2 linked regions of the Sus scrofa genome follow. The protein of the gene in region 1 interacts with the protein of each later gene in a biochemical or structural test. Links are inferred from orthologs where the notes say so. Each region holds a gene or a part of one and is shown on either strand. Other genes may lie near its edges.

The links. The genes of interacting proteins can lie anywhere in the genome.
Region 2: the proteins of SEMA4D (region 1) and CD72 form a complex in vitro, tested with the Homo sapiens proteins (2 studies listed by BioGRID and IntAct). The link is inferred for Sus scrofa from reciprocal best matches to the Homo sapiens genes SEMA4D and CD72.

The regions. Positions count from the first base shown.
Region 1 is NC_010456.5:967,700-970,568, reverse strand, and holds the end of SEMA4D (semaphorin-4D), read left to right. Parts: coding exon 1-850; 3' UTR 851-2,270; downstream 2,271-2,869. UniProt on the Homo sapiens protein: Cell surface receptor for PLXNB1 and PLXNB2 that plays an important role in cell-cell signaling. Regulates GABAergic synapse development. Promotes the development of inhibitory synapses in a PLXNB1-dependent manner.
Region 2 is NC_010443.5:236,350,527-236,354,242, reverse strand, and holds the start of CD72 (B-cell differentiation antigen CD72), read left to right. Parts: upstream 1-814; coding exon 815-896; intron 897-991; coding exon 992-1,099; intron 1,100-1,716; coding exon 1,717-1,788; intron 1,789-2,289; coding exon 2,290-2,370; intron 2,371-2,699; coding exon 2,700-3,035; intron 3,036-3,716. UniProt on the Homo sapiens protein: Co-receptor of B cell receptor (BCR) that plays both positive and negative roles on B-cell functions. Recognizes the Sm/ribonucleoprotein (RNP) self-antigen ligand, and coligation of CD72 and BCR inhibits BCR signaling.

The DNA.
Region 1 (2,869 bases):
CCGGGTGGTGTGGAAGTTCCAGAATGGCGTGCTCAAGGCCGAGAGCCCCAAGTACAGCCTGGTGGGCAGGAAGAACCTGCTCATCTTCAACCTGTCGGAAGGAGACAGTGGGGTGTACCTCTGCCTGTCGGAGGAGAGGGTCAAGAACAAGACAGTCTTGCAGGTGGTGGCCAAGCACGTGCTGGAGGTCAGGACGGTCCCCCGGACCCTGGCCGCTTCCACCTCGCCAGCCACACAGACAGAGGGTCGTAAGATCACCTCCAGAGTATCAGTGGGGTTCACCCAAAGCTCCCCTCCGCAGACCCCAGCCGTGAGGGTCACCACCCCTGGGGCCATCGCCCCCCCTTCCAGCCCCGAGGCGCCCACCAGCACGTCCTGTGAGCCAAAGATTGTCATCAACACCGTCCCCCAGGTCCACTCGGAGAAGACGATGTATCTCAAGTCTGGCGACAACCGCCTCCTCATGTTCCTCTTCCTCTTCTTCTTCGTCGTCTTCCTCTGCCTCTTCTCCTACAACTGCTATAAGGGCTACCTGCCCGGACAGTGCTTAAAATTCCGCTCGGCCGTGCTGCTGGGGAAGAAGAAGCCCACGGCGGACTTCTCAGACTGCGAGCAGAGCGTCAAGGAGACGCTGGTGGAGCAGGGCAGTTTCTCCCAGCAGAACGGGGGGCAGCCCAAGCCGGCGCTGGACACGGGCTACGAGACGGAGCAGGACACCATGGCCAGCAGGCTGCCCACCGACAGGGAGGACTCGCAGAGGATCGACGAGCTCCCAGTCAGGGACCGGCCGTTCGACGTCAAGTGCGAGCTCAAGTTCGCTGACTCGGACGCAGACGCGGACGGGGACTGAGGCACCCGCCGCGCGCAGGGAGGTCTTTGTGTCGCCAGTTCTGTGACCCTGTCCAGTGCCGCCTACGTAGCTGTTGTCAGCAAACCTCAGTCTTGTGTCTTTCCTCTTGGGTCGCGCTTGTGACTTGGTTTCTCTTTGTCCCTCGGAAAACAGCGAGCATCCCATCGCGCCCGGCCTCCCCGGTGGGTCAGAGCGCTTGGAGCTGTGTCCTCAGGCTCGGCCGAGCACACTCTGAGGCGGAAGGATGGCGGGGCTGCCACTGGCCTGGGAAGAGGGGGTCCTGAGCATCCCCCCCTCACAGCAGCCACTGAAAGATAATTTAATTCCAGATTGGAAATGACCTTTTAGTTTATCAGATTGGTAACTTATCACCTGTTGTCCAGGTTGGCACGAACTTTTCTTCCACGACATTATTTTTTAATATTTTGCTTTCATTATGTGGGTGTGTTAGGTCCTTTATTTTTTAAATTACTAAAGCAGATGTTTTAATATTTAGAAGATGTCCATCTTCTGGATTTTGTTGTACATTAGGGGAAGACATGGCTTATGTTGCTTAAGATTCTCAGGGATAAACTTACTTTGCTAGATGTGTTCTTTTCTGCTTTTAGAGACTAGACAAAACCATTTCTTGGGCACACATGTTTTGGGGGGGTGTTTTTTGGTTTGGTTTGGTTTTGTTTAATTTTATTCCTTGAGGGAAGCATCATTTTCGGAGAGATTTTCTTTCTGTACCTTTTCACTCTTGTTTTAACTCTTTTGAAGAGAAGGCTGTGGAGGACGGTCCCAGGACACGGGGCGGGACTTTGAGGGAGGAAGAGGGGCCCAGCGTGCTCTGGGCGAAACCGGGCTGGCCCAGGGAACTGAGAGGAGGAGCATGTTACAATCCGACGCCCACGGCCACTGGTCCAAACCTCCTGTCCAGACAGACAGTGTTTTCTGCGGGTGTCTTGGTCGTCTGAACATCTCCGTTTTCTTTTTGCTTCCATCTCATGCCCTCTGCCCGCCCAGACTCTCCGCTTAGCCTAACAGCTGTCCACAACTGGAAGAGAGCTGGGCAGCCCTGGACGGCCAGGCCGGTGACCAGCGCACCTCCTGCAGAAGCCGCCACCGCAGACCTGCCTGGCCCGGCGCTGTCTTTTAAGATGCCAGTGGGGTGGCACAGTCTTAGCACCATCAGTGTCACACTCCACTTCCTGCTCTCCAGACGCCTGCAAGGGGAGCCTTTCTTTCCGTGGCAAAGAGCAATAAACTCTTAATTTGTGTGTGCCTGTGTGGACCGTGTCATCTTCCAGCATGATAGGATTCGACTGTTTTGGTGTAAACACTTGTGTTTTATAAGATTTACTTTGTTTTTATTTTTCTACTTTGAATTGTATACATTTGGAAAGTAACCAAATAAACGAGAATCTTATATCCTTGACGCGGGCGTGTGGTTCCCTGCGGCTCTCCTGCCCCCTCCCTGTAGTCTGGGTGGGGGGCCCTGCGTCCCTGTGCTTGGCTCTCAGGCTCATGCATGTGGTGTGTTCCTGGTGACTCTGCCTTAGAGCCCTCTCTCTTTTCTGTCCTCTGTCTCGCAGCCTCATCTTCTCTGCCCTTACCCCCTCCGGGGTCCTCTTCCCTCTCCTGTCTGGGCCCCGATTCATCTTCCTCCCCCCGAAGCCCCTGGCCGGCCTTGGGCCCGGGGCCTGACAGCCACCGGCAGGTCACCTTGCTGCCGCCCTTCCTCGGCGACCAGGCCCAGCACGTGCATGCCCTGGGGACCTTCCACCTCTTCTGCCAGGCCACAGGTGAGCGGGGCACCGCCCAGGTGGGGGGGCGGGGCGGGGCGGGGCTTCCTCCTCGAGCCCGGCCTTCCTGGCTGCACCCCCCCAGTGACCCCCAGCGACACTAAACTTAGTCATACTAAGGCTATTCGTGTGGATGCCGGGGCCTGAGCAGCGTTTTCCACGAAGGACTGAACTCTTTGAGGTTCCATGTGTCCCAGTTTCTGTTGCAACTACTCAGTGCTTCCCTTGTAGC
Region 2 (3,716 bases), on another chromosome or scaffold:
TGCGAAGCGAGAGTAGAGAGTCGAGGGGTGTTTACATAAGAGAATCAGTTTGGTCCCAGATTTTCTGCATCCTCCCAAGGATTGCCACATTCCCAGGAAGAGCTTTGGATCGAGAACTTCCCTGTATGTGGGATTCTTGGCAGCTGTCTAGGACTACAGCAGGAGGGGAGCTGGGCCCATCCCCCCAACCCCCAAACTGACGGAGAGAAAAGTCCCACCAAATCAGGGACCCTTTTCTGGGAACCCACACCTGCGGGGAACGCCAGGATGAACCCCATTGCTAGGACACCCCCCTTCCTCCCGAGAAGCAATGACTGGGGAGATACTCCATAGACAGCTCAGCACAAAAAAGCTCTGACTACACACAGAAAGCCTCCGGACTGGGAAGTGAGGTGAGGAATGTGGGGCAAATCAAGGGAGAGGATGAGGGTGGGTGTTTGAAGCCCAGCTCTGCCAAAGTGGGTCTGGGATGCATGAAAGGGGAGCACAGGCAGGACACAGGAATGAGCCTCAGTAATGTTTCTGTGACACCTCACAACCCCAAACCCCATGCTCTGGACCTCAATTTCCCCTCCCCTGCCCCTCTAACTGGGGATCAGGGGTCCCGTTTGCTTCACTGAACCCATCTGTCTGAGACCAGCTCATATCTTCCTCTTTTGTGACTGTAAGTCACAAGGCAAAGCACTAAGCTGTGTGTAGTCACAGAGGGAACACAGAACCTAAAAGTGTGAAGGGACAGAGGGGAAAGTGGCAAGGAAAGCCTGGAGCCCGTGGAAGAGGGGGGAGACAGGTGGGAGCAGAGGTCCCCAGGATCATGGCTGAGGCCATCACCTACGCAGACCTGCGGTTTGTGAAGGCTCCCCTGAAGAAGAGCGTCTCCAGCCGCCTAGGACAGGGTAAGGGTGGATGAATGTCGCCTTGATGCTGCATCTCCAACCTCCTTCCTGCCCCTCCTTCCACACCCAGATCCCACCTTTTCTCTCCTCTCCAGACCCAGAGGCTGATGAAGATGGAGAACTCACCTATGAGAATGTTCAAGTGCCCCCAGGCCCAGGGGGGCCCTCGATCTTGGCTCCTTCTGGATTAGGGAACAACACAGGTCTGGAGAGCCCAGGGGATGTGTGTCTGCCTGGGGTGGGGTGGTGGGGGTGGTGCTGTGTCTTGAGCTGGGGCGTCCTCAGCATTCTTGGGAGGACAATACCCTTGGAGAGGAGAGGTGTTCTCAGGAAGAGAGTGAACACCACTTATGGGGGCCAGGGAAGGATGAAGCTCCGAGGGTGTGTGTGTGGGGGATCCCAGTGGGGAGCTAGGGCTTTGACGAAGGACCAGGGCAGCCCTGTGGGGAGCTGCGCTCCAATGAGAAATGGGGGGTCCCGGGAGAGAGAAGGGAGGGGAGGGGAGAAGGGTGAGTGCACTCCTGGGGAGAGGGTTTGGGGCAGGCAAATGAGGGGCCCCTGAGGAAAAGATAAAGGGAGACCCAGGAGGGCGACAGAGGGTCCCCCGGGAAGAACAAGGTAAGACCCAGGAGGAACACGACAGTCCCAGGGGAGAAGAGGAACTCCGGGGACCCCGGGCACCGCTAAGGGTGTCCCGGAGCAGTGGCAGAAGGCACCTTAGGACCGACTGGGATCTCGCCGCGGTGAGGGGGGTCGGGGAGGGAGAAGGGGCTTTTCCCCGGCCTTCCTGTCTTCAACCTGGGACCGCTCCCTTCCGCAGGGGCGCAGACTGAGCAGCCAACGGCCGCCTGGAGCTCCTCGACGTCACCAGCTGCCAGGCGGATTCTCCCGCGTGAGTAACGCACGCTCCTCGCCACGCGCGCGCCGCCCTCCGCCCTCCGCCCGGCGGGGCCGCGCGCGGGACCTCGTGCTGGGCGCCTTTCCCCGCCGCTCCCCCTCCAGGGTCCGCGAGGGTGGTCGCGGGAGTCACGTGCGAGCGCCCGCTCCCATGGGTGGTAGTGCTCCGCTCGGAGGTGTGCAGGTCTGGCCAGGGACTGACCTTACTCTGGTCCGCATTCCCTTCTTCGCCCTCTCCCCGGTCTCCATCTGACATTTAGTTCCAGGTCCTACCAGGTAGTGCGCCTCAGTCAGTCCTTACCAGTAACAATGCCCAGCCCTACTTCTGGAACACCTTCCCTCCGCTACCTGCAGAAACTCTGCGGGACAGAAACCACCATGCGTGCTCCAAGTCCTCTGTGGGATGTTCCTTCCCATGAATCTCCCACACTCCCACCCCCTCAGTCTGTTAACTTTCCTGGGGTTCATGAACCCCCATTCCACTGTCTCCCTGCAGGCTGCGCTCGGTACTTCCTTCTGGGCCTGCTCCTCACCTGCCTGCTGTTAGGGGTGGCCGCCATCTGCCTGGGAATGCGCTGTGAGTATGGCGACTACCCCCCATTTCCCACATGCCCCAGACAACCTGCTCCCCCACAGTTGCCCTTCCTCCCCAGCGCCCCGAGTTACCACTACCACATCCTCAGCCTTTCCTCTGGCTTCCAGCCAGGTCTGCTTCAGAGCACTGTGTCTTTCTAAATTGTCTTTAACTAATCCAGTACCTCCTTAAGCTTTAGGCAGTCAGATCTTATAGTCCAGCCTGTTAGGCAGAAAAATTGCCAAGAAACAGAAAAAGGGCTGACGCTGAAGTCTCAGGGCATCAGAGCATGGCTGAAGATGTCCTTCAAATTTTTCTTTATGGCCAAACAGATCTGCAGGTGTCTCGGCAGCTCCAGCAGATGAGCAGGGTTCTGGAAGCCACTAACAGCACCCTGAGGCAGCAGCTGCGCCTAAAGATAACCCAGCTGGGGCAGAGGGAAGAAGATTTGCAGGGGTCCAGGAAGGAGCTGGCTCAAAGTAAGGAAACACTACAAATGGAACAGAAGATTTGCCAGACTACCAGAGAGGAGTTGCAGGCCTGCCAGTTGGACAGGAAGACGACAGATGAAGCCTTGAAAAACAAGGAGGTACAGAGGATAAACTTGGAGCGGAGGCTGAGAAGTATGCAGGACACACTGAAGCCCTTCTTTACATGCTCCTCACCAGGTATGTGCTCTGAGAGAGAAGAGATGGGAGGGTCTGCTGTGAGCAATGGATCGAAGTGAGGAGACACTTGTGACAGGGGTCTGTCCATCTATTAGGGGACCATTGAGTTGTTCAGGAAAGGGGTAGTGAACCGGAATACTTGCCTTGGCCAACGGGGAGAAGGATCTAGCTGGATAAGGATTTAGGGGGACTCACCTAGCTCAAAGGAGGATCCTGTCAAAGGAGGATCCTGTGGAGGAGAGGAGGGTGGCAGCCAGCAATGCAAAATGACACTGTCCAGAGCAGCAAAGTCAGGGCTCATCTGGCTTGACATCAGCATCAAGGATCTGGGCACACCTGAATATGGTTGTGCAATTGGTTGTTTGCATGTTTTTTCTAAAGACAGGCTCTATAGCTTTCTTTCTTTCTTTTTTTTTTTTTTTTGCTTTTTAGGGCCACACCCATGGCATATGGAGGTTCCCGGGCTAGGGCGGCTAGGGGTCTAATCGAAGCTACAGCTGCCAGCCTATACCAGAGCCACAGCAACGCCAGCCGCATCTGCGACCTACTCCATAGGTCATGGCAATGCCGCATCCTTAACCCACTGAGCGAGGCCAGGCATCGAACCCACAACCTCATGGTTCCTAGTTGGATTTGTTTCCGCTGCACCATGACGGGAACTCCAGGATCTATAGCTTTACT